Linked DNA regions of Cricetulus griseus. The protein of the gene in region 3 interacts with the protein of the main gene of each other region in a biochemical or structural test. Links are inferred from orthologs where the notes say so. Each region holds a gene or a part of one and is shown on either strand. Other genes may lie near its edges. The genes, in order: Prpf19, Hectd1, ubiquitin-conjugating enzyme E2 D3, Ube3c, Mylip, E3 ubiquitin-protein ligase TRIM69 and Nhlrc1.

What was found.
Region 1: the proteins of ubiquitin-conjugating enzyme E2 D3 (region 3) and Prpf19 form a complex in vitro, tested with the Homo sapiens proteins (2 studies listed by BioGRID). The link is inferred for Cricetulus griseus from reciprocal best matches to the Homo sapiens genes UBE2D3 and PRPF19.
Region 2: the proteins of ubiquitin-conjugating enzyme E2 D3 (region 3) and Hectd1 form a complex in vitro, tested with the Homo sapiens proteins (2 studies listed by BioGRID). The link is inferred for Cricetulus griseus from reciprocal best matches to the Homo sapiens genes UBE2D3 and HECTD1.
Region 4: the proteins of ubiquitin-conjugating enzyme E2 D3 (region 3) and Ube3c form a complex in vitro, tested with the Homo sapiens proteins (2 studies listed by BioGRID). The link is inferred for Cricetulus griseus from reciprocal best matches to the Homo sapiens genes UBE2D3 and UBE3C.
Region 5: the proteins of ubiquitin-conjugating enzyme E2 D3 (region 3) and Mylip form a complex in vitro, tested with the Homo sapiens proteins (2 studies listed by BioGRID). The link is inferred for Cricetulus griseus from reciprocal best matches to the Homo sapiens genes UBE2D3 and MYLIP.
Region 6: the proteins of ubiquitin-conjugating enzyme E2 D3 (region 3) and E3 ubiquitin-protein ligase TRIM69 form a complex in vitro, tested with the Homo sapiens proteins (2 studies listed by BioGRID). The link is inferred for Cricetulus griseus from reciprocal best matches to the Homo sapiens genes UBE2D3 and TRIM69.
Region 7: the proteins of ubiquitin-conjugating enzyme E2 D3 (region 3) and Nhlrc1 form a complex in vitro, tested with the Homo sapiens proteins (2 studies listed by BioGRID). The link is inferred for Cricetulus griseus from reciprocal best matches to the Homo sapiens genes UBE2D3 and NHLRC1.

The regions. Positions count from the first base shown.
Region 1 is NC_048596.1:49,553,014-49,556,513, forward strand, and holds part of Prpf19 (pre-mRNA-processing factor 19), read right to left. Parts: intron 2,875-3,500; coding exon 2,676-2,874; intron 2,593-2,675; coding exon 2,519-2,592; intron 2,428-2,518; coding exon 2,365-2,427; intron 1,436-2,364; coding exon 1,394-1,435; intron 1,294-1,393; coding exon 1,219-1,293; intron 940-1,218; coding exon 864-939; intron 698-863; coding exon 588-697; intron 1-587. UniProt on the Homo sapiens protein: Ubiquitin-protein ligase which is a core component of several complexes mainly involved pre-mRNA splicing and DNA repair. Required for pre-mRNA splicing as component of the spliceosome.
Region 2 is NC_048598.1:150,519,516-150,523,015, reverse strand, and holds part of Hectd1 (E3 ubiquitin-protein ligase HECTD1), read right to left. Parts: intron 3,474-3,500; coding exon 3,307-3,473; intron 3,216-3,306; coding exon 3,039-3,215; intron 1-3,038. UniProt on the Homo sapiens protein: E3 ubiquitin-protein ligase which accepts ubiquitin from an E2 ubiquitin-conjugating enzyme in the form of a thioester and then directly transfers the ubiquitin to targeted substrates.
Region 3 is NW_023276806.1:24,045,351-24,049,468, forward strand, and holds the start of ubiquitin-conjugating enzyme E2 D3, read right to left. Parts: upstream 2,801-4,118; 5' UTR 2,677-2,800; intron 2,594-2,676; exon of another isoform or gene 2,465-2,593; intron 2,235-2,464; exon of another isoform or gene 2,096-2,234; intron 1,224-2,095; 5' UTR 1,074-1,223; coding exon 1,050-1,073; intron 1-1,049. UniProt on the Homo sapiens protein: Accepts ubiquitin from the E1 complex and catalyzes its covalent attachment to other proteins. In vitro catalyzes 'Lys-11'-, as well as 'Lys-48'-linked polyubiquitination.
Region 4 is NC_048601.1:93,184,146-93,187,645, forward strand, and holds part of Ube3c (ubiquitin-protein ligase E3C), read right to left. Parts: intron 1,168-3,500; coding exon 1,010-1,167; intron 1-1,009. UniProt on the Homo sapiens protein: E3 ubiquitin-protein ligase that specifically catalyzes 'Lys-29'- and 'Lys-48'-linked polyubiquitin chains.
Region 5 is NC_048596.1:265,123,190-265,126,689, reverse strand, and holds part of Mylip (E3 ubiquitin-protein ligase MYLIP), read right to left. Parts: intron 2,324-3,500; coding exon 2,126-2,323; intron 1,657-2,125; coding exon 1,492-1,656; intron 595-1,491; coding exon 174-594; intron 1-173. UniProt on the Homo sapiens protein: E3 ubiquitin-protein ligase that mediates ubiquitination and subsequent proteasomal degradation of myosin regulatory light chain (MRLC), LDLR, VLDLR and LRP8. Activity depends on E2 enzymes of the UBE2D family.
Region 6 is NC_048599.1:56,257,241-56,261,217, forward strand, and holds the start of E3 ubiquitin-protein ligase TRIM69, read right to left. Parts: upstream 2,801-3,977; 5' UTR 2,440-2,800; coding exon 2,224-2,439; intron 1,389-2,223; coding exon 1,366-1,388; intron 1,282-1,365; coding exon 1,157-1,281; intron 1-1,156.
Region 7 is NC_048596.1:266,724,138-266,728,128, forward strand, and holds Nhlrc1 (E3 ubiquitin-protein ligase NHLRC1), read right to left. Parts: upstream 2,770-3,991; coding exon 1,582-2,769; 3' UTR 501-1,581; downstream 1-500. UniProt on the Homo sapiens protein: E3 ubiquitin-protein ligase. Together with the phosphatase EPM2A/laforin, appears to be involved in the clearance of toxic polyglucosan and protein aggregates via multiple pathways.

The DNA.
Region 1 (3,500 bases), on a different chromosome or scaffold from region 3:
TAAATGCTTTCTTTTATTAAGAGTTGCTGTGATCATGGTGTCTCTTCATAGCAAAAGAGCACTAAGACACAAATAGTCCTCTATTTCTCAGTTCCTTAAGTCTAAGAGAAAGACTTAACTGGGAGGCACTGTTTCAGCACCCCATGCAGCTGCATACCAAGCCACAGTACTCAACTCTTATGAGACCATTAATCTCCTCTAATAGCTACCTTTATCCTCTTTTCTATTTGAACTCACACCACTTTCAACAGCCAACATTTAATTTTGAACCCAACCACACAGGGTGTCATGGGAACAGACACCTAGCAGTCAGGACTATATAGAGCTTTACTGTCTGTAGTTTATCTATAAACGCTCTAGGATGTTTGTTTTCTTTTCCTAATGCAAAATTGATGTGAATGTGCTTTGTTGGTTGCATTTTCCTTCTCCTTTGGTTTGAGGGCCACAGCTTTGGGGTTCTACACAGAGACCCATCAATGCCCAGTTCAGTTCATCAAAAAGGTAGAGATTGGGTGATTGGTTCTGAAACTCAAAACTACTGGAACAGGACTTAGGAAAGGACAAGGGTGGCTGTGAAAGTACCTTACCTGAGAAGGATGAAACACCACGCTGGTGACCTTCTTGGTATGGCCTTTAAGAGTGGCCAGGATTTGCTCAGTACTCTTATCAAAGACAACAACGTTTTTATCTGCCCCACCTATAAAATATCCAAAAAAAGACAAAAAAATGAATCAGGCCTATAAGGATCCCAGTGCTAAAGAAGGTCTTTCTGTCCTCAAATCCATGCAGAGAACCAGGGGCTTGCACCTTCCCTTGCTCCTGCCATCTCCCACCTTGACCTATCAGGCCAGGCTCAGACTCACCAGTGAGAATCTTGTTGGTGTCCGAAGGACAGAGGTCCAGAGCAAGGATCCCAGGAATGCTAGCACTGTGTAGCCCCTATGCAGACAGAACCACACAAAATCCAGTCACAGCCAAATCAAGGCAGACCAGAGAGCCACACAGCTCCTCCACTCCCTATACCCTTTGGTATTCCTCCTCAGGCAAGGAACAAGAGTGAATTTTATCCCTTATCCATCCAGCTTGGCTGGCTGCCTGGATGCAGCAACTCCCTCACTGCATGGCAAGAAACCATGTCAGAGGCCTGAGCAGCATTTGCCCCTGCTCCTCATGCTGGCCCATCTTGCCCTAGAAATAGAGTCACCTCCAGCTACTTACCACATGGGATGCCACCTGCCGGTACTTGCTGAGCTCTTCGGGTTTCACCAGCTCCTCAGGCACAGTCTTTCCTCTCTGAGAAAACAGAAAAGACCCCAAAGAGCAGCAATTGAATATAGGTTTCAACTAGCCCCTCCTCCAAAAAGCCAAATGCTCACACCAGGGGTCAACTCACCTTCTTACGCTCCGTGGTTAGAACAGTGGCCTTGTCTTGAAGCTGTGGAGAACAATTTTCTGAGAAATGATTTTGCAAGGACAAAGCACGCTGGGTGCTGGTACATCTGGTATCATAAGCATCACCAAAAACATGCTATTTGCCAGGTTATGTGCTAAAGCTGACACATTTCCACTCTGGTCTTATAAGGTGAGGTATCCATGACCTTATGGTACAACTGAAAAAACTGAACATCAAAAGACTCACCTCCCCCCACCCAAGGTTACTAAAGTGACAAATGGTAGAACTAGTAGGGACAGAGCTAGGCTGTTGTGTTCTGGGACCAGGTCTAAGGTACAAAAATTAGAACTCAGACACTGTTGGACCCCACAAATGCAGACTGTACATTCAACAGAACCCTGCGATGCAGTCTGGAAGCCTGCCTTGCCCCTTCTCAGCTATGACTTACAGTCACAGACTCCTCATCTTAAGATAACTTCTATCTTGTAAGCAAAACCTGTCACAAAGTGGTTTAATATCAGCAAAGACCACAAAAACAGCAAGAGCTATAAGCTGCCCTTATCAGTAATTAAGTCTTCCCTACAACAAGCCTGTGAAGTGCATACCTCACTCTATTTAGAAACAAGGGAGCCGGGCGGTGGTGACGCCTTTAATCCCAGCACTTGGGAGGCAGAGGCAGGCGATTTCTGTGAGTTTGAGACCAGCCTGGTCTACAAGAGCTAGTTCCAGGACAGTCTACAAAGCCACAGAGAAACCCTATCTCAAAAAAACAAAAACAAACAACAACAAAAAAAAGAAGCAAGGAAAATGAGACAGAGAAAGGCAGGCTAAAGTCAGCCTAGTCAGAAAACTCAAGAGTGGCAGGGCAGGCTTTCCACTGCTCAGGGTGAGATTCTTACTCTAGCCCCAAGACCCATGGCACTGAGTTAGGAGGACATGTGGCATTCCCAGCAAAAGAGCATATGACTCACCTTCTGGATAATCTCAGGGGTCATTCCCACCAGCTCACCCAAATCCATGGGCTCTCCTGCACCCTGGAGAAAAGAAAGGGAGAATGGGAGGAACTCACAATACCAAAGGCACCTGTGTAAGGACAGCTATTGGGGCTTGGAATGGAACACTTACCACAACACTGGGCTGTGAGCTTGGCACGGCCTGAGGTACAATAAGACCAGCCTGTGGTTTCAGAGTAGCCAGAGCTGAGAGAAAAGATGATGTTAGAAATGGGACATTACAAAGCAGAGCCAGCAAAGGGTAGGGAACAGCAGGGAAGAGGAGACACCTTCTCGAGCAGCAGTGACTTCCTTCGTGAGACGGGCAATGACTCGGCAGGCAGCATCGTGTTGGTACAGAGCATGGGACAGCTCCTGGCGGGTTGTCTGCAGTTGCTGGCGAAGGGTGAAGCTGTGCAGCATGACTGCATCCTGGGAGGGGGTAGGCCACTGTGAGGACTGGGGGAGAGCTGGAGAACTCGGCCAGCCCTGGAGAAGAGGACACCACCTCCTATTCTACACTGAAGCCAACCTGAACTACTCAGAGACCCAAGCTAACATATGAGTGACCCTGAATGCCCTGTAAGGCATTCAGGCTCCTACTCCACACCACACCCTGGACACATAGACAGAAGCAAGATCTGGCTCCTTCCAACCCCCAGCTTTGCTTTACTTCAGCAGTAAAGCACATATGTTAATGCCATCACTTCTCTGAAAGGAAATAATGCTGCTGTGGTTATTTACTAGCTACCCTCAGCAAGTGCAGTGCTCAGTAATGAAAGAGAGTCCCTGACGTCACAAGGCAAATTTGTCAATTTTATTCTACTTCTTACAGAGTACAGACAGACAGGACTAATCAATGTCCTATAGTCAGGAAGGTCAAGCCTCAGAGACTGAGCAGTGTGCCCCAAGTCACAAAGGCTGACAGTGGAGAAAACTTTGGAATCCAGGTCTGCAAGACTTCCAACAAGCAGGCTCCTCTTGTGCTGCCATCCTGCTCCTCACAAATGAAATATGGCTGGCAAGAAATGAGGGGGCTGCTCAGTGGTACAGCATTTACATTAGCCCTGTGTTCATCCCCCCAAAGAGTCAGGCCTGGTGGGCACTTGTAATCC
Region 2 (3,500 bases), on a different chromosome or scaffold from region 3:
CTGAAGGTCTATACTACTTAATCCTTACAAAATAATACTAAGGAAAAAGTATGCACTACATAAAAGGGTTCTGGGATACCTCTAAAGTTCTTTCTCATAATCCATTTATCTCTGGACAACCCAAGACTGCTGATAGTCTTTTTTTGTTTTTCTTTTTTGAGATAGGGTTTCCTCTGTGTAGCCCCTGGCTATCCTGGAACTCACTCTGCCCTGGCTGTCCTGGAACTCACACTGTAGACCAGGCTAGCCTTGAAGGTGTGCAAGTATTTTCTACATCTATTCTGTTACAGTGGGGAAACATTTTTTTGTTGTTAATGGTGCTGAGGGTGGAATCCAAGGCCTAGCACATTCAGGCATCTACCACTAGGCTACATCCAACTGCAGGAACAATTTCGTTAAACGTAAAAGAAAAATACTGAGATTTCAACAAGTAAAAATTTTTGAACTGTTAAATATGACTAAAACTGACAGTTAAAACATTCCTGTGTCACTCAGAAAGTTTAGGTTACTCACTCAAAATACTAAGTTGACATTTCAATTGTGTTCTCAAAGTTTAGAGGCTACTTAATTTTCTTATGGTTAAGTTTACTGGATTTGAATAAGCACAAACACATCTTAGAACCAATTTAAAATCAGGTTGAGCTCTTTTAAAATTTGCAAACTAACGCTAGTAACAATCTTAAATATTTTTAATCTATATTTACTTCTATTTGAAAATTACTAGTTTTTTATTTTAAATTTTTAAAAAAATATTTATATAAAATTCCAAACCAAAAAAATGACTGATTCGGGAGAAAGCTAATAAGAGATTTCAGTCTTACTTTCCTAGGAGCGAACTACATGGGGAACACACATTAACATGTGGAATACATGAACTTGTACAGTGTAAGGTCCAGCACACCTGAGCACTGACACACACACCACACAACCAGCTACACTAATTTCACATTCTGATGAGGCTCAGAGAAGCACTGAACCACCTCTACACAAGCTTAAGATTCATTCCAATCTACATTTGTATGCCAAAATAACTACCTCTTCTGCCTAAGGAAAGGTTCAAAATATCATCCCAATATGAAATAAAGTTGATATTTGTTTTATACTGATACCAATATATACTGAAATGCCCAAATTATAAATAAAAATAACATTATATAATATTAACATGTTTTGCCCAGAAGGCAGTGAATCATATTTTGCCTTGACCACTGATGAAGTTTAACTAAGTACCTTTAGAATTCTGTGGAATAAGTGAGTAAGTGGATAGTTCTACCAACATAGAAACTCTTCAGAAAAGCAATGGCTATAACTGGCTTAATGAGGGAATATACTAAAAAGTATAAACCAAATGGTTTATTAGGTATATACCTAGTTTATACCTAATATACCAAATGGTATATTAGGCTTGAGAAAGCTTCCAAAAGATGAACATATACTATACCTAAATGTAACAACTATTCCTATGTTCAAACACAGATTAAAAAGACAGGATTAGTTTTAAAAAAATTACCTATTGCAGGAATTATATACGAAATATAAAAACTCTCTCTGCCATGTTTAAAGCCAAAACTGAATTGCAACACTTGAAGGATCAGAAACCCATGTCTTTCTGGAGTTCTAAGTTCTGAAATGAAGATTCTAATTTTCTTATGTGTTTATTTTAGCTGAATCCATGTCACTAGCTTCCATCCTCTTAGTAAGCCACACAACACACTTCACTTTATAAGAGAGAATATGAACTCACTAACAAGAATAAGATACCAAAAAATGGTAATGTTTTAAATCTCTTATCTGATTGGTTCTCTTGTTATCTCAACCATTGCTGGCATTATACATTTTATCTCACTGCAAACCTGTTTATGTTTTTAGTTGTTTGCAATTAGGGTTCAATGCTATAGAAATGTGTTTAGAATTGTGGCAATTTTCAAGGAATGGAAAGAAACCTTAAAACAGTAAAATTGACTAATTTATTAAAGTTATTTAAAGTAAATGTTTTTAATCACATTAAAGAAAATACATTATAAAATCAAATGTTAACTATTCTCTTAAGGTCTATCTTCTGAATTTTTATTTTCAGAGAAATGGTCTCTAACCCAGAACACAACCAGGCCTGGATATGTGGGGCTAGGGACCAAACCCAGGGCTTCATGCACACCAGGCAAGCACTCTACCAACTGAACCAAATTCCCAACCCCTTCATTTTTATTCTAGCTCTTTAAATATTTGGAAACAAGAATATAAACATTTTACATTTTTTAATGCTCAGTATAACCAATGGGGATCAAGTTTAATCAAATCATCTGCTACTAAGAAAACCTTTTAAATGTTAAGAAAACTTGGCAGGAAAGCTACTTTGGGAGTCAACAGCAGTTTATTATTTTGGTAAGAACTTTTCAGAATCTACAGCACAGAGGTTAAAATGAATGTACTCTTTTTGTACAGTTAGTGTAAAGTGTAAGAAGGCAGTGTAAACTCCTCCAGAGGCTGGCAAACTGAGCACCCCTGTACTCAAGAAATCAAGAAACTATAGTCCTTATTCTTTGCTTTATTGAACACTAATTTTTTTCTCCTACATGTCTTTAATAAAGTAAAAAAATACTACCTGAAACTACCAAGGAAATCTTGGTACCCTGAGAACAGTAGAAGAAATGTATCTTGAAGATATTTAGTTTGTACTAGTTCAATAATCACTCTACAATATTAGCAAACAGATTCTAGTCAAAATCCAAGATGTTCTCTAAGTAAAGGAGTTATTAATTTTTACAAAGAATCTTAACCATGAAGCTCTGGTTGGCCTGGAACTATTAGGCTGTCCTCAGACTCGGGAGAGATCCACTGCCTCTGCCTTCCGAGTCGTAAGATTAAAGATGTATGCCACGATGGCCAGCTTTATGTTTTCATTTTAATGTGGAATCATTATCTTTATTGGTTCTTCTACAAAGGTCTGATACAGCCACACAACTGACAAATGATCCAAATAGAGAAGACATATTTTTTAGCACATGGCTTTACCACCAGCGGAGCTAGCACCCACTCACCATTGTGCAGCTCGCCAGTGACCGTGCCTTCTCCCTGCGGGCTGCCATCCTGATCTCGCCACTTCCAATCAAGGCCTCTGATAACCCGAGCTCCAGGAACCATGTACTTGAGGACTTGTGAGCGCACAAGGCGCCTCTGCCTTCTAAGATTTGCTTCTGCTTCTTTAGCCGCTTTCCCTACGAGACCAGAATGAGGGAGATAGAAACCAAGTCACTTTTAATAAACAGTTATGGAAACTTGGAAAACTATCTCATGTCCTCTCATTACCTAGCTGGTCTTCACATACTCCATTTACAGTGCCATAGAGTTCAAATCCAGAGAGCGAGAGGTAGTGTGTCTGTCCACTGGCATTCTTCCCCATCTGTTTAATCCTCACATGTCGCCACCCCTGCTTTTCATCCTTTGCTGGGTCAAGTGGCCAAGTTGCAGTTGACCTATAAATATATTAGACAGAAAGTGTT
Region 3 (4,118 bases):
AGTCTCAAGAGTTTGAATTTAGGTTAAGTCTTGGAGGCAGAGACCCTTAGAACTCCCTACAACCATATAAAAAAAACAGTTAACGTTAACAGAGAACATTATTTCCTATTATTAGAAAAAGGGATGGTGTCGGAAAGAACCCGAACCAGTTAAAGCAGCCGCCATCTTAAAATGCGGGATAGAAGTTAGAGCAATAAAATGAGACTAAACCACCGGAGGAGGTAGTTCTTCTTACACTAGACCTCCGAAAAATCCTAGCTTCTGCCCAACTGAAACCGACAGCGTAAATTATCAAATTATAGTGGATTGCTGAAACAAGGCTGGAGGGGGGAGGGGGTGTCCTAAGCAAAAGCAGTGGGTCCATCCTGTGTTCCTGCACTGTCAAGCACCCCCCCACCCCGGACGGATCTTCCTAAAGGCATTTACATCAGTTCCCGTGCCTCAGATAAATAGCTTCGGGTGCAAGCTGCGACCACACAACACAGGAAGTGGCAACAGTGTCAGTCCACCTCCTCCCAACCCCACTTGGTCTTGTGTAACTGCCCAGATTGGGTTAAGCTTCTGGACAGACTTCGTCACTACCTTTTAGCAAATCGAGGTTTGTTTATAATACCTTGACCCTCAGTAAAGTTCGGAATAAAATGTTTTCTTTTTCATGTTTCCTTTTCTTCCTAGAAGGCCTATAAGCATAGTACACCTAAAATAAGTTTTGAAGAACCAGGAATAGGAAAGCAGTACTATGCCATCTGCCCGAGGGCTTCTACACAATTCCACTTTCCAAACCGGACTAACTCTTCGTGAGGCACAAAACCGAGGTGCCTGAAAGCCACGCTCTCACCCATTAATTTACAAATTCTTGTGAGAAATTCGGTCTAACATTTCGCTTGCCAAAAGCATTCAGTTCCCCCAACTTAAAGAAACTCATCTCATAAACTACACTCGCACCCCACTTCCACACTTCCCCCTGGGCCCGAGCCTGCCTGCCTGCCTGCCTGCCTGCCTGGCTTCCCAGGGCCCCCCGTCCGGATTAGTCAGTCCCAACAACTTACCTTATTAATCCGTTTCAGCGCCATAGTCTGTGCTTTTCGCCGGGCTCCTCACTATCCCGATGTGTACTCAAAGGCCCGGCCGAAAACTCTTGATTATCCCAGCGGCGAGGATGGATCGTCTCTTCTCCTTCTCCTCCTCCTCCTCCTCCCAGCGGCTCTGCCAGACACAGGCGCCTTTTTTTTGCAAAAACGGAGCAGATCAGCCACTCGCCAGAGGCCGCGGAGAAAACCCTGCCGACTCCGAGATCCCTGCAAACCGCCGCGATCCGGGCAGGGCGGGGTGGGGTAGCGAAGCCACCAACCACTGCTTCTCCCCGCGGCGGCGGCTCGCCCCGCAGAGGGCGAGGGTGACGGGAAGAGGTTACGAGTTTAACTTCCCGGCCTCTCGGAAGGAAGGGCCCCGGGTGGGAGAGGAAGAGGCGGAGGAGAAGGGGGTGGGTGCGGGGCCGGGGCCGGGCAGAGGAGGAGCCGGGGCCTAGTCGGCAGGCAGGCAGGCAGGCAGGCTGGCCGGACCGGCCGGCGCTGGGCCGGCGTCACCGGGGCAAAGAAAGGCAAGGGGGAGGGGAGCGGGAGGCTCCGGAGCGGCGCCGGGCTGCTCTCCGTTTCCGCTCCAAAGGTCGGCGGGCGGGCGGACGGACGGACGGGCGTGCGGGCGGCGGGCTCGCGTGTGCGGCCGTGCCCACGGCTCGGGCTGCTCCGTGTCGCCCCTGACACTGCCTCCCTCCTCTCCGCCTCACAGCGCGCTCCTACGTGCGCGCGCCCAGCCTCCTCCTTCACCACCACGCGCCGCCGGCGGCGGCCGCCAGGCTCCGGCTCCGGCGCGAGGGAGGACGCGCCCCTGTCTCCCCCCCGCGCCCGTCCTCCCGTCCTCCCTCTCGCCCCCCCGCCCGCCCGCCCCGGCCGCGCCGGCCTCCCCCCTTTACCCCACCCCAGCCCGCGGGCTGCCCACTCGGCCGCCCACAGCCCCGGGCGCCGCTCCGCGCCGCGCCGGCCCCCGGCCGCTCGCCCTCCCTCGGGCCGAGCGAGCCGTCCCCACCCACGCGTACAGAGGGGCCGGGGCCTCCCTCGAGCTGCGGCCTCGGCCTCGGCCTCCTCCCCGCGCGGCAGCTGGTGCCTCCCCGGCCCTACGGGGCTCACGCGCACGGCACAGCCACAAGATGTCCGCTCGCTCTGACGGAACTACTGCCAGCTGCCACGCTCCGCCCCTCCCCCCGCCTATTCACCGCCGCGTATCCGTCCGCCAACGCCGCCGCCGCTGCCGCCGTCGCGAGCGCGAGCCGCGGGCCGCGCGCGGGGCGAGCCGAGCCGAGCCGAGGCGAGCGAGGGTTGAGGGCAGCGGTTTGCCTCCCTGCCTCCGGGCCCGAGCCGACGCGCCAGCCACCCGCTTGCCGCCTCCCGGCCGGACCGCACAGCACCTTCTCACTCCACTGCTCGGAGGTCGGGCCGGGAGGGCGGGGGACGGAGGCGGGTCATGGGCCGAGGGGAGGGTAGGCGAGCGGCGGAAACCCTGAGACTCAGAGAAGCATCGAGAACCGGAAGGAGACCTCGGGAGGAAGGGGATGGGAGCGGCAGCTGCGCGGTCGAGGCCCCCGCGCCCCTCCCTACCGCGGCCCCCTGGTTTCCTCACTTGGTATGGCGGAGGCGGCGGATCTCGCGAGAACCTCGTGGCCGGCTCAGCGGAGCTCCGGCTCTGCAATGACTTAAGGGCAGTTTTGTGCTCTCTTCCTGGCTGGGGCCCGCCCCCAAATCCGCAACTTATCGCGAGAGGCGCCGGTAGCACTCTCCACGCCCCCCTCCCCCCCAGGTTCTCACTGGGCGGGCCTTGGGCCGAAAGCACCGCCCCTGAGTGCTTCTGCTGGTGGGCGGGAGAGGAAATGGAATTCCCCAGGCCGGCCGGGCGCGAGGGCGGGCGGGCGAGGGCGGGCGGGCGCGAGCGAGGGGCGGGCGGGCGGGCGTGCGTGCGTGCGGCCGGCGCGCGCTGGCCCCGCCCCCTCGCGGGCGTCCAATGGGGGACGGGCTGTGGGCGGGGCCGCGGGGTGACTCGGTGCCTTAGCGAAGGTGGAGCGGGCTCCGGGCTTCCGGGGGCCCAGGTGATGGAGATCTCTCTTCCCGGGCTCCTCGCAGAGGGCTAAGCGGCGGGAGGAGGCTCCCCTCAGGTTGGGAACGGTAATTTACAACAGATCCAGGCTGAGGGCTGCTCGCACCGCCACGTGGGCCCCGCGTGAGCCGCGCGCGGCCCGAGGGGCGAGCGTTAGCGTAGCCTTAACAATGCGGCTTAATTGTGATCGGGCTGCTTAGAGTCCCGACGTCAGGCAGTCAGGTGGGGAACAGCCAGAGGAAGGAATGCCTGAGGATCTTCTTTCTCCCGGTGCTGCTGCAGTTTTTGAGCCCCAAAGTGGTAAAACATTAGGGAATCAGTCTGGATTACATTCAGGGGTGAGATCTCTCAAGTGTACCACTGCCCTGATTTTGGGCCGCCGTGGTTAAGGTGTAGAGGGCCGTTTGTCATCTAGTGTATTCTTTGGTTAAAAAAAAAGAACTAAGCCTTTAGTTTTCAAAAGGCGTTTAAAGGCAGAAAGGATGGACCTGCTTTAGGGTTTTCTGGCACCCATGAATAACCCCACTTGAAGTGAAATTCTGCAGGACTACATGGAAATAGCTTGAATTTTGAAAACTTGTTCCAGACAGTAGTCCCTAATTAAATGATAAAAATTGATGAAGGATCTAATATATATTCTAAGAATGAGGGTGTGTAATATGTGTGTGTATATATATATACACATATAGCTGCTTATACATTAAAAATGTCACTAGAGCAATCGGTGGGATACAGCTGCTTCAACTGGTGTCCATAGGAATCACCTGTAGTTTAGTTTAAAATGCTGATTTTGATTTATTAGGCCTGACTAGGAGCCCGAGATTATACATTTACAACAAGCTCCCAAGTGATAGGAATAATTTGAGCATTTCTGACTTAGTAAAACCCTGAGCACATGATGCTCTCCTGGCCACCTCTGACACTTCCTCCTCCCTGAAAACAACCCATTGTTCTCTCTTCAGGCTCACCCT
Region 4 (3,500 bases), on a different chromosome or scaffold from region 3:
CTGGACTCAGTGACTTAAAGATAGGTTATACATACAACAACAGCAAAAACACCACGAAATAATTCATTAAAACACCTGAAAAACAGCCATGCCACTGCACAACACAACAGAAGCAGCAATTTTGATGGAAGATTTTCAATCATTTTTTTTATTTTTGGAAACATTTCATAGAAGGCACAGCTCATGACTATCTTCCTAATGGTTTTAAAAAACAGGAAAAATAAAATTCTCATCAAATGCTTAGTCTGAATTGGATATATACAGTACATCACATCAGTTCACTCAAGTTCACTGCCATCATGAATCTATTTCTTAGAAGGTCAAACTGTATAAATTTCACTATAATTTTCACGAAGTCAGTAGTTTTCTGAGATTTTTAATAAACTAAGTTTTGAGTTTTTTACATTTACTAAGCTCTACAAACAGTAAAAATTCACGAGACCTTAATTTTTGTGGTTTTAATGTACATCAGCTAGAATTAATCTATATACGTTTATACGTCAATAAAACAAGTTATTTACACTCTGTAACAGTTAACTTACTACTTTCAAGAACAGCCAAAAACCAGTTCCTTTTTTTGTTTGTTTTTGTTTGTTTTTTAAGACAGGGTTTCTCGGTCTAATAGCCCGGGTTTGTCCTGGATCTCTTTGTAGACCAGGCTGGCCTCAAACTCACAGAAATCCACCTGCTTCTGCCTCCCAAGTGCTGAGATTAAAGGTGTGAGCGACCACACCGGGCCTCAAACCAGCTCCTTTTATGATTAGCCAAAGAAACTTGTCTTTTACAAAACAAAGAATAATTAAGTACAGACAGTAAAAAGGCTTCTGCATTTTCAGAGGCTATGAGCAATGCAAGACTCAAGAGGCTGCTGTCATTCTCCCAGAAGGCTCACACAGCTTCTGTTGTGAAGATCACAGTGTGTTGTTCATAGTAGTACCTCCCTCAGCAGCACACAGGCCAATTGCCTCCACAATAACGCCACCTCCACAGGTCTGCCCCAGCCACTTACCATTGTGAACCATGTAGTGCAAAATTTGTTCAATCACTGACACCACATAGCTAGAATCTTGTAAAACAGGTAAGTATGTATTCTCAGATGAAAACACCTCAAGCATTCGCATTGGAAGTGCGACATTTAAACTGTCATCACTGCAGTTTTGCAGCAACCTGTAAAAACAAATTCACACACTTACTATAAAGCCAGGACTGTCAGTTTCCCTGACTCTTCCAGTTCCTGTGATGAGCATGTGAGTCACTGCACCACTGCCAGGGTCTCAGAAAACAGGCAGGGCTCAAGCAACAATGTTCAGACTTCCTGGGTCTTTTATTATGTGTCTACAGTAACCCTTTAGCAGATAGACATGAAAAATATACATTCTCAGAAAGAGACAGCAGAGGACAACCAAAGATTGCAAACAGAGAAAGAAAACCATAATCCACTGATTGTTGCAAGAAAAGTTGCATTTTTCAACTGGGTAAGGCTTTCTGGGAAAAGTGGCTCTGCAAAACAGTCACATCAAGTGTGTACAGACCACAGCATGATCTCTTTGGTTCTGAATTATCTTGACTGAAGCCTCCCCTCTTACTAGGAGGCAAAAGGAGTCTTATCTACCACAGTCTGATTTTAAAACAGCCTCCAGCCAGGTGTAGTGGCACAAGCCTTAGCTCTCAGAAAGCAGAGGCAGGCAGAGTTCTTTGAATTCCAGGCCAGTTGAGGCTATATGGAGGGAAACCCAGTCTCAACAAGCCCAAATAAATAAACAAACAGAGTTTAAAAAATAAAAATGGGCTCTATGCCCCTAAAAAATTTTAAATTTAAATTAGAAACAAGCTTGGTTTACATGCCAATCCCAATTCCCTCTCCCTCCCCTCCTCCCCTGCCCCCACCACCCCGTATCCTATCCCCAAGGAGGGATGTCAGATTCCTTGGAACTGTAGTAACAGGTGGTTTTGTGTTAGGAACTGAATGCCAGTCCTCTGCAAAAGCAGTGAGCACTCAACCACTGAGCCATCTCTCCAGCTCCTCCAAGTCTTCCCTTAAAACTGACTTGGTAGAAGCACAATTATACACTGTTCTATGTCTCATACTTGGGATGCACAACCTTGAAAGGGGAGCTGTTCTTAGTCTCCAGTCAATCCTCCTTCCATGTCCCACTCTACCACTTGTCTCTGCAGCTGTGAATAAGACTGTACTTCTTGGGGTTTTTATGCAGAAGAAGCTAAGTTATACAGTGTGCTCAGAGTATTGGTCCTGTTGATTGTCTTTCTGACACTCATCACATAATACACCTGCAAACCTCAATCCTTAACACACTGAACTATAGTCTCCCATGTAAAAATATTACATCTGGGGTTGGGAAAATTGTGTCTCAAAGCGAGGCTGGTAGGAGTGTTTTCTTAAGCTCCAGTGTGTATTATGCCTCATCTCTTTTGGGTATCTTCTACATACAGAACTACTGGATCACAAATGGGTCCAAGTTGCACATGAAGCCACCAGGTTCCCACAGACACTGAGAGAGGGAGTCCAACTGCACCACATCCTAGCACTTGGTAGGAAGAATTAGAATTCAGCAACTCTGAGTCTGTAAGTATGTATCACAACATGGATTTCTATTTCTCTAACTAATACTGATAGCATTTTCAAGTATATGCTGATCCAATTCAGAGGGAGGTTTTGTTTTCAAAGATGGGCTCATATCTGTTGTCTATTTTCTCAATGTTCACCTCTTAACAGTATGTATAAACTGCCTTTTCACCTTTCCAAGGCCACATGTCATGATCCTGAAGCTATATCACATTCTTTTTCTTCATTCGGCAATTCTCCCTTCAAGGCTAACTCCTCAAACGACCAGGCATGATTTTTTCCCCAATGACTACCCTCACTCTGTTCCTCATCTTTCTCTCTGTGGATGCTTCTGCCACTCCACATTCCTCTGCTGCAGGAAAATGAATAACTGAGATAGCTCCAAACAGGCTTCTGAGCATCCTGCCCAGCTCCTACAGGCTGCTGCTTTACTTGGCAGAGGCCTAAGAGCAAAGCCATGGCTCCCACCAAGCACTAAGAAGGCTGTACAAAGATTTCATTAAGGAAGAGGAAGTAGATTTTCTCAGCTACAACACCCAACCAACCTGACACTGAAACACTAAGACCTGACCCATACTCATCTGAGAATCTGGCTTTAAACTCATTGAGACTCAGATGAGAAAGTACTCACTCAGTTTTAATCAGCTGGTTCCTTCTGCTCTTTTCAGCAGCCCTCAAAGAGCCAGTCTTTTATTACTTTTCACACAATCCATCGAATCTTATCCAGGTGGATGGTCTCACACTCTCTCTCTCTAAACTTTTCACTTCAAGTGGCTTCACATGTGTTTTGAAGCCACCTTCATCAGAGTCCCAGGCTTTCTACTGCTTGTTCTGGCTATCCTATAGCCCACACCTGTCAGACTCAGCTATCACTACTCTCCAGTCTTTTCCAACACATTCTAAAAGCACACACCAC
Region 5 (3,500 bases), on a different chromosome or scaffold from region 3:
TTCTGAAACCAAGTGGTGACAAGAGCGTGCTGACCCACAGGTTTCTAAAGGGCACAATGGGTGAAGTCGCTGCACATAAAGACCCTTCCCAGGTGCAGAAGGCTGCTTTCCACTCTGTGTATCGTGCACCTGTTGGAGCCTTCTTAACAGACGGGAGGGCTGTGACCCCTTACCTGAAGCTGGGCAGCACAGCTCTCACAGCACACGGTGTGGCCACAGGGGCAGAAGGTAGAGTTGATCTCCTCCTCACAGCACACCATGCACAGCATGGCTTCCTTCAGCTTGCGAAGCTTCTCCTGCAGCACTCTGGTCTGCTGGCAGCTGAGGCCCTCACAGCTGCCGCAGCTCATGCTGCCGTCAGAGGACTTCAGGGGCGAGCTGGGAGGGCTCTGGTCATTTCGTGAGACAAGGTCCACAACACCGGCGTTGTACAGAGCCCTCCTGGCATGGTCATATACCTCCTTGGATGTTCTTTTAATATCAAAGACATACTTCTTACCAAGGTTAATGTTTTCATTGAGAAACAGAGATGCCAAGTGGCCCTTCAAGTCACGACTGTACTGCATCATGACGGCACTGGTGACCGTGTCACACCTGAAGATGAGAGTGAACATCTGATTTAGTATTGAAAAGCCTAACTCAGACTGTCAGATACCGTTATTAATAAAAACAGTATGCCAATAGACATTTAGTGCTCTATCTTCTAGCTTTGGAGCCTATCCTGGCACTTGCTCTGGAGACCAGGCTGGTCTCGAACTCACAGAGATCCGCCTGCCTCTGCCTCCCGAGTGCTGGGATTAAAGGAGTGCGCCACCAACGCCCGGCCTTTAACATAACAAAATTTAAAGGCTTCCTGCAAACTACATTTTTCTCTTTAATTTTTTTCTAAGTGTGAACCTGTTCACAACTCAGCCTGAAAGTGCCCTCTAGAATGTTGTTTAAAAATCTTCGTCATGGCCAGGTGTAGTGGTGCATGCCAGAAGTCCTAGCAGTCAGGAAGCTGAGACTACAGGACTGCAGTTGAGTTTGAGGCCACCCTGAGGTGTATAATGAATTTCAAATTACCTTTGGTCATGCAGTGAGATTTTTGTCTCCAAAAACACCAAGTAAAATGAAACTTAAAAAGTATCCGGAGTATGTAATGTGCGAGGGCTGAGGACAGGGACTTTCTCAGCAGAGAAAGACCTGTGCCACTGTTCTGGGAAAAGACATAGTCATAGCAGAACAGGGCCAACCACTGGGGTTATGCTGGGAGGTGGGTGTGGAAGGAAATGAGCGATAAACAGGAGAGTGTAAATGAGGCACAGGTATACACCATTCTGTGCCCATAAGGGCGCCACTAGCACTGCAAAAGGAAGGCTCAGAGTAGCTATTCCCTCATAGTCTGTAAAAGCTCATGGACTCAGGGATAGGAGAAATCCCAGCAACCTGCCAGACACCTAAACACACTAAGCTGTGACCGAAGCTCAGGAGACACATGGTGGTACATGCCTGTAGAATGCATGCGTTTCGGTGATGGCCCGGTAGAGCCCACTGGCTGCCCTGGTGCTGATCATTTTAAACAGGAGCACGATGCTGTTCCCAGACTCCTTCGTCACGGTCAAGTAGACATTCTTTCCTGACTGGGTGGCCATCTGCACCACAGGATAAGCTATCCTGAAAGGCAGGAGGAGAAAAGTGAGCCAGCTCAGAAGGGACAGTTCAGCATGATGTTGATATGCCTTTGTAGGCTGGCCATGATCAGTAGTGAACCAGACACTTAGCCTATGCTGTTCTATGATGATTCTAACTAGTTACGCTGACAGAGGACAAGCAGTGTGGCATGGTGACCGTGTTGGAGTGCCCTTGATGTGTGTGTGGGTATGCAGAAGCAGACACAGGTATTTATGGCATGAAAAATAATAATTCTGCCACATTAGTATACGTTAAGTTAGCATTTAAGGAATAATTAGTCAAGGCTTGAATGCAATTAATGAATAAATTAAAAAATGAATCACTTTATTGATAGAGGTGTCTGGTGAATTTCTGTCCATTTTCTATTTTCAGAACAAAGCAACCGATGATATACATGCTTATGATTGTGTGTGTGTGTGTGTGTGTGTGTGTTATGAAAGACTTGGGTTACCTGTTAATAGGACTGAAGTCATCTTTACAGATTGAGATGCCTTCGGGTCCAACCCCAATGAGCAGTTTCTGCCCTTCGCTGTCCCTCACAGCATGCCACTCTATGCCATAGTTCTCCATTGCTGACACAATCTGCAGAACTTGGTATTCTGCCGAAGCCTGGCTGATGCCCTCCAGCTCCTTATGCTTTGCAACAATGCTGTAGAACATTCAAAGGTGCAAATTTAGGCAGATCAGCTCATGCATTCCTCAAAGCTTATAATTTTCACTAGTGAAATATAGGGATGTGGTCATTTATGCATCACAAAAACACCAAATGGCGTATTACTATTTCACTTACTATAAAATATTTCTAAGACACTGTTCGAGAGCTCACCTATGGGGCCAGTGAGATGATTCAATGGGTAAAGGTACTTGTATTGGATCCCTGGAACACACAGATGGCAGGAAAGAACTCACTGTCATCAGCTTTCTTACACACACACACACACACACACACACACACACACACACACACACACTGTATTTTCTTGAAAAGATCTCAACAAATACTGAGAACCCACTGGTAAGCTGACAGAATTATAGAAAAATCTCTCAGCATACACACAAGACAAATGTGTAGGCTAGATCCCCTCATACATTTATCTACACAGACTTTACAAACTTCCTGATAAGCTAGCAGCACAGGGGACTGACTGATTAGATTCTTTGCAACCGAAGAAAACACAGATCTCTATTCTATGTTGTGGCAAGGCTGTTTCTCCTGTGCTCCCTGGTGATCTGGCCTCCCCATGTAGCCTTCCCTTCAGTATGGTCTGGATTAACGGCTGGCTGCTAATGAACAGAAAACCATGAAAGACCTGGCATGACTAACTTCTGAGAGAGTCATGAAGGCGGGACTCTTCTCTCTTGCTCTTGAATCATTCACATGGGGTGAGCCAGCTACCATACCATGAAAGGGCCCTGTGGTCAAGTGGCAAGGGAAGGAGACTGGCCAAGAAGCTCCAAGATTCACCTGGACCCAGAGGCCTCCCTCAGCTGGGCTTTTAGATGAGACTGACCTCTGGGGCTTGGTATGCCCTCAAGCCATAGTGGTTCCCTGTCCATGCATTCTCAGAAAATGTCTGTTGTTTTAAGCTGAGTTTGGGGTTAGCCTGTTACACAGGACTAGGTAACTGAGTGGCTAAGCTAGGCTTCTTGCTGTAATTTCTTGCTGGGATGAAGCAAACACCAATAAACATGCTAAACTTTTACTGTAGGAGATTTGCACATTTAAAAGGTCAGGCACTTTCGAGATCCTTGTTATTTATGGAACTTCATATAAGGGCATTTATCTGTGTGGGCTATTTTGTGTTGGTAAGTTCCCAAATAAAAGG
Region 6 (3,977 bases), on a different chromosome or scaffold from region 3:
ACTCCATCCCCAGTGCCGGGTTACAGTTGTGTGCCACCATGCCTCACTTTTTACATAGGTGCAAGGGATTCAAACTCAGGTCCTTGTGTTTGTTCAGCAAGCACTTTATCCACTAAACCATCTCCCTGGCCCCCATCTATCTGTATCTTGCTCACAGAGATATTTACCTGTTTATTAAAACTAATCTGTTTATACACTGGGTATATATAATTATACTTCATTGAAGTTGTTTTCTTTCAGTGTTAGTCACCTGAAAATGTGACTGGGATATATTTATGATTTTAACTAAACCTAGTTAAAATCAATAACAAACAATAATAACATCTATAGGAATTTTGAGAAAGCTATCTAAACTTTTATTTCTATACACATCTTATCTAGAATATTATTTCTTTTTCTTTAAATACCACTTGTGTTATTTTGTCCTGTTCAGTCCTTTGATATTTATAAGAACACAAAAACATGCTTATTAGACTATCGACTGAAATTAGATAAGCTTTTCTTCTGAAGAATTGGTCTTTGTCGAAGCACTGTTGATCTCTAACACTCTCAGGATATTGTGCTCTATGCTATGACTGTCAAGCACTAAAAGACCTATAAAGACTAAATATATACAAGGAGTATGTATGGAAAATGCCTTCAGAGCAGAGACACTCCAGAGAATCATACAACTGATGCAGCAAAACAGGATAATATTGTGGCCATTTCTACACATGCTAGAGCAAACAAAAGCATGGGCTGAAGAGTGATTCTAATACTAGATTATCATGCATTGTTAGTTCAAAGACACATATTCTTAGATCATAGCAGCTGGAGAAAAAGAAAAAGTCTTTTTGACTAACTCCACCAAAGGGCTAGAGAGATGGCTCAGCAGTTAAGAACACTGGCTGCTCTTCCAGATGTCCTGAGTTCAATTCCCAGCAACCACGTGGTAGCTCACAACCATCTACAATGAGATTTGATGCCCTCTCTGCCATGCAGGAGTACATGCAGACAGAGCACTCATGTACATAAAATACAGAAATAAATCTTAAAACTCCACCCAAGTCCATTTTCATCCAGTCTTAAGCTAAAGAACTAACGGGACACAGCAGAGGCCCCACAGATGAAATGTAGATTAGGGGCCATAGGAATGAGTAGCTACTTCCCACTATACCTGGACAGAGAATGGACTGCATTTCCTTCCAGATCATATACTGGATGGGACCTTTGAAGCGGCCTGGGCTCAGCTTTTTGGAGATAAGCTGTCTGGGTGAGAGTGCCCTCATTCCTTTCTCCATGCTGTAAGGGACACAAATAGTTTATTTTTTAGACATCCTCCAGGGGCAGAAGGAAGGGGATAGAGTACCATGGAAAAGCACTTACCTATCTAAGAGCGTTGTGATGTCCTAAAGAGAAAAGGAGAAATAGAGCTGTCAGGTGTCTGTTTATCATCTCTAGAGATCTGTCTGGTTATTCTGATCACCATCCAGGTTTACTCATCAATCCTGGCTTTCTGTGCATGTGATCCTCAGTCCATCTCCAACAACAATTTTCATCCTCCACAGGCTTTCTCTAATGAGCACCCAATCTAACCCATGATAGCTGTCCTCTCATTTGCTAACCTACTGATTTCTATGATTCCAGCTCTTTAAGATATAGGAGAGGAGCCAGTAAATCGATAGTCAAGGTCAACTTTTCTTTTTTAAGTGAGCACTTCTAAATACTCCCACAAGAAAAGATTAGAAGCAGTTCCAGTGCCAAGGGTGACCAAACTTGTGAGTACTAAAGTGATCACCAGTGTTGTTTTAGAGGTGAGACTTCAGGTAGCAAAGTTTGACAGAAAGATTTTTAAATAGTTCTCTTTATGATTTCTGTAAGCCCCAAACTCAACAACGGCTATCAGATACATACTTTTTGAAAACTAACTGTAACTCCAGCTACAAGGTTCTTTATGGGAAAATAAAAATATTGATTCATATAACATTATTGATGAAATTGTACTAATCGTGTTTCATAGGAAGATGAAACACAGTTTTCTACTGAACATAGAACAAAAGCAGCTTCTCACAGAGGATCTTAAAGCACTGCAGTGGGTTGGGTTGTGGTGGGGTGGGGTGGGGTGGGGTGGGGTGGATTGGGTGGGGTTGAACTTGGTTAGGGTTTGCTTCCTTTCCCTCTACAAGTCCAGGCCCTCTTCCCTCCTTCACGTGTACCCATAATCAAATCGGTGTGGAATCTCACTTTGAGGAAGTTGAAGGAATTCTGTTCCATCCGTGCCTGAATGTTCATCAGCATGTCTTTGGCAAGAAGACACTGTTCCTGAAGCTGATTCAGATTCAGCTCCATCTCCTCATTCAAGACTTTCCCCTCATCCCGGAGTTCATTTAGAATGTCCTTTTCTTTGTTGTGCAGGAACTGATGCAGCTTTAGAAACTCCAAGGAAAGGTATTGTTGCATTTGTATCTTGTTGTCCTGGAAACCTCCATAATCATCACCACAATTACTACTGAGACTAGCACTTAGAAACAGGGGCTCGCATCCCACAACACACCTTGGAAATTTCCAAACAAATGGCTGCTTAGCATCAACATTCAATCCTACTAAACAGAGCTTATTCCTTCTTTCCTGGCTAGTTTAATGGTGTAAAAGGAAAGGTTTTGTTTTCAGTTTTTTCTCAGTGCTTGGATAATAAACAGTGCTCTATTAAATAATGTTTCAGAGTCGATCCAACATTCTAAAACAATTTTATTATTATTATTTGGTTTTTATTTTTTTGAGACAGGGTTTCTTTGTGTAGCCTTAGCTGTCCTGAAACTCACTCTGTATATCAGGCAGGCCTTGAACTCAGAGATCTGCCTGCCTGTGCCTCTGGAATGCTGGGATTAAAGGCACCTGACTAAACATTCTAAAATTAATACTAACAATAACCTTCCTAGATTGGCAAAACAGCATCTACCAAGTGATGTTGTTAAACTAGGGCCATAAGGAGCCTGGAGGAACTGTACTTTCAAAACCAGAGCTGCTCTTGCTGCCAGTACAACATAAAAGAAACAGGATATGAACAATGTGTAAAGTGCTAAATTGATAATTGTGATACTTGCAGCTTGTACATGTGAGGTGTGTGTGTGTGTGTGTGTGTGTGTGTGTGTGTGTGTCTACAGTTTCCTCCCTGGTGAACTCTATATATCCTGGCTTATCAGTTCCTTATTGTCTTCATTTATAATGGCTTACAGCTTTCTCCAATTATTCCCAATCACACATAGAATTATATCATTCCCAGAGAATGTATCATCTTCAAAATAACTGTTTTGCTCCAAGTTCACTTGCTCCTTACTGTAGCACTGTTGAATCTCAATGAAAGTTTGTATTCAACCTGGGCGTGGTGGTGCATGGCTCTAATCCCAGCTCTTGGTGGAGGGGGCAGGGGGCAAAAGCAGGCAGACCTCTATGAGTTTGAAGCTAGCCTGGTCTACATAGTGAGTTCCAGGACAGTGGCGCTACATGGAGAGACCCTGTCTCAAGAAAACAACAAAGTGAGTTTGTAATCATTGACCCCCTCTGTTTCTATTAATCAACTTCTACCTTCATGGCCTGTCTTATGTAACTTAGATTCCATGGATAATCATTATCATGCTCTTAACATAGTCTTAACTGTTCTTCTAACCAATGTGTTTCCAGTTTCCCTTTCACCTTTCTCAGGATTTCCCAGTATAATTGCTTCCACTACCTCTAACCACATTTATTTTAAATATTAAAATTAGTTAGTATTCTGTCCTAAGCTCATTCTATACTTTCTAGGCAGTATCTCCCTGGCCCCCTGCAGCTTTAAATTCCATCTAAATGCTGATAGCTTTTCTCCAGCTTTTGGGCTCCAGACTCCTCAACCCAAACCTGATACTACAAATCACTCCTCTTATCTAATAAATCACTACATCTATATAGTTTCCTCCCTATACCATTTGCCCTTGTTATCTCTGCATACGCTGCTCTTTAGT
Region 7 (3,991 bases), on a different chromosome or scaffold from region 3:
ACTTTTTGAGGTGGTCTTCAGTGGATACAGCTCTCTTAAAACTCTTTGGAGGGCTATGATGTAACTCAGTTGGCAGAGGGCTTGCTTAGCATGTAGGAAGCCCTGGGTTCCCTCTACCTCCAGCACCACAGAACCCTGGGCGTTTCAGTGCCTGTAAGCTGGCACTTGGGAGATGGATACAGGAGGATCAGAAGTTGAAGGTCATCCTTGGCTACAGAACAAGTCCAAGGCCGACCTAAGATATACAAGACCTTGTCTCAAAAACAAACAGCCTCTTTGTATAAAAGAATACCATTTTGCTGACAAAGCATCCGTTGTTATCTGCAGCAAACTGTCACTTTCCGAGAGCATCCCCCAGAAAACATTTCCCTGCTGCTGTAGAGGTTTACGTTATTTTGCTATAATTTCAACAGCCCCGAACAACGAAGACTTTTACACTTGCTTAGAAATAAATAAATAAAACATACAGAGGATCCACACTTCACCCCAAATTTCCTCCTATTCCTTTCCTTAATTGCAGCATTAAGGAGCCCTTATGTGGGCCAAGGTTATGCTTCAGTGCAAGACATGTTTACAGAGCTCTAAAATGACAAGGGAACTAACTGTTTATTGACTAGACAGTGTTTGACTCCCATTTCAAAGTGCACAGAGAAAACTTTCATCACAAAGCACATTAGGCGGCACAGATTACCACACAGTAAACAAATTCATTCCTGCCACGAATATGTCGGGGCGACATCTCCTAACAGAAGTCTCATCTGTCCATGCCACTAGCAGACAGTGGCTCTACAGGTTTTGCTCAGACCATCACTCAGGGATGTCCCCCTGTGCCTGTGGAGGAGGAAACGCTGACACCAATTTACAAAACAAAACAAGCAAACAAAAAACATTGTCATGTAGCACAAGCTTCAAACTAGGTAGCTGTAGATAGGATCGAACTCCAGACCTTCCAGAGTGCTGAGATTATTGGCATACACTACCAACCAAGCAACCTTTGCCTTATAAGGAAAGAGCTCAACTGTGTTTCTTGGTATTGGTAACGATCCATCTACTCTGCCATTGGGGAGGGCTCCCAGATGACACCCACACAGAATCCTTTTTCTCCTGAGAACTCCATGGAGACCCCTTTCTTCGTGCACACAACCAGTTATTGAGTTACTTGTAGGGAGAGCATATCTAAGACATGCTCACTTTTTTTTAAAAAAAAAAAACATCTGGCATCATATTTAAGAGCAAGGGATTTGGAGTCAGAATTGAGTTTAATTGTGACTGTCCCAGTAAATATGCCTCGAAAAAATATCATATTAAATTCTCTGGATCTGCTTTCTCGTCTCTAAAATGGGACTAATAATAGAAATCACATCGCTGTGTGTTAAGGGGCAAATGAACTAAGATCTGCAAATTCCTTAACATTGGGACTAGGCATCCACTAAATGACAAGTCTAATGAGTAGTCCTTTATAACTGCCTCACACCCAACACTTCTGTCAAGCAGTTACCATTATTCCTGCCTGGGCGAATGAGTGATGGTGACTCATCCAGGGTGCAATTCACTCCTGATGACACCAGGCCTCAGATCCCATCACCCTCCGTTACCCTCCATCACTTTAAAGATTTTTATAGTGTGGGATGCAGTGTCCAGCACAAGAAGAGAATTCTCCTTGGTGAAGACCAGGGCCACAGGACGAGAAAGACCATGAGTGACCATGGGCTTCAGGGCTGGAAACTCCTCGGGTTTCCCCAAGCAAATGATGGCTGGCCCAGAGGTGTCTGCTACAATCACATTTCCCTGGTGATCGAAGGCTACAGCTGAGATAGTTATTTTAGAAGGAAAGAGGAGGTTCAGCCCGAAGCTATCCACCTGGCCAATCAGCTGCATGGTGGAGTTGAACACCTTCACCCTTGTGTTGTCACCTGCTGTCCCCAAGGGCCAGGGGTGTTCTAGGATCGCGATGGCCCCGGTGAGCCAAGACACAGCCACCCCACGGGGATTGCAAAGCTGAGCTTGCAACCTCTCGATCCTCCGAAGGACCCCTTCGGGGAAATCTACTTCCAGCAGGTGCAAGGTCCCTGCCTCTGCGTCGGTCACCAGGGCCAGATTCTGAGGGGTGATCTCCACACCCCAAGGCAGGGAAAACTGTTTTCCCACAACCAGCTTGATTTGGCCGAAGAAATCAAACACTTTGAGGGAGCGGTCGCCAGCGTCGGTGACAACCACGTGGCAGTCGTTGGTGACGGCGACATCCAGTGGGTACTTCACGTCATGCGCTGCGTCTCCCTTCTCTCCAAACTGGTGTGCACCTCCTCCTCCGGAGTCAAAGATCTTGACCCGCCTCTTACCGTCGTGCACGACCACCACCCGTCCGGTCTTGGGGCACAGTGCAAGCCCCGTGGGGTTCACCAGGGTCCCCCACCCGCCGAAGGCGTGCTGACAGGTGAGCACCCCGGGCGCGCAGGCGGCAGCGCTGAGGGCAGCCTGGGACGCGTGAAGAGTGGAGCCCAGGAGCTCCAGAAGGTGCAACACCGGCAGGCAGTCGCTGGTGTCACAGGCTCGGCAGGCCCGCCGGCAGAAGGGACATTCGAGGGCCAGCGATCGCGGGTGCGCGAGGGCGGCCACGCAGGCCAAGCAGACCACGTGGCCACAGGGCAGGTTGCGCGGGCGCCGCTGCTGCCGGTGGCCGAACCTCTCGAAGCACACCTTGCACTCCAGCAGGCTGACCTCCGCCTCGCGCACCAGCTCGGGCCGCACCCCCGCCGCTTCCTCCCCCATCGCTCCTGCAGCGCCGCGCCGCAGCCCTCGCGCAGCCCTCGGGCACGGTCACGGTCACGGGGCGGGGCATCCGCTCTGACGCGGGGCTCAGCGCCTGGCCCGCGTAGCGCTGCTGCTCCCTGGCGGGCACACGCCGCAGTCGTTCGCATGCGCCGTGCGCAGACCTGGAATCATCACGACACGTCACTCCCTGTGAGCCTGTAAGTGGCAGGGCGAGCACCAGAACCTACGCTCCCAATGCTGATACCCAGCAGAGCTGCCAATCAGCTACGCTGGGTGCTGGTTGCCAGGGCTGGGCAGGAATAAGACAGGCCCCTAGTATGGGTCGACTAAGGAGAGTGATGCATGAAGGAAGATAACTTCAAGTGGGTGAGTCAGGTGTGCAAACTTCTTTGGTGTGTTTTATCACACTTGTGAGAAGGTAGACAACTAACACTCGCAGCGCCTCTGGGTATGGTAGCTGAAATCTCAGCACTGTGGAGGCAGAAACTAGTGGTTAGAGGCCAGCCTAGGCTACATACAGTGTCTCAATCCTCCCATAACCCCGCCAAAAAACCCAAAACAAACAAACAAACAAACAAAAACCCAAAACAAACAAAAGAATACAAGTGAAATGGGTTTGTTTGGAAGGAATATTTAAAAGCTGTTAGTTGCCTCGGATGGTGGTCTATATAGTGAGTTCCAGGCCAGACAGAGCTTTGTAGTGAGAACCTGTCTCAAGCAAACAAACAAGCAACAACAACAACAAAACTGTTAGTTAATAGCTGTATTCTTTGAAGTGGTTTCATGCATTGTTTTATTCAAGCCTCGTGGGCAATGGGAGTGGCTTGGATGAAGAACAGGCTTGGCAATGATTGGAAGCCAGGCAGTTTGACTACAGGACCTCTCACTATCTGGCACTGATCATCAAATATATGGTTCTATATGACAAATGGTTGAGTCTCCTTGCCAAAGGCCTAATGGTCCCGGGTGAGGGCTGGGTTGCAGAGAGCTGTGAAGGGGATTGTGAGTGTATAGGTAAGTTTAGGCCAGTGATTCCTTCAGTGTCTTCCAGACTCAGGTAAGATGGAAAGTAAAGGGACTGAAGAGATGGCTCTGTGGTAAAGAAAACTTGCTGCTCTTCTAGAGGACATGAGTTCAGTTCCCAGCACCCACATTGGGTGGTTCACAGCCACCTGTAACTCCAGCTCCAGGAATTCCAGTGTCCCCTTCTGGTCTCCAT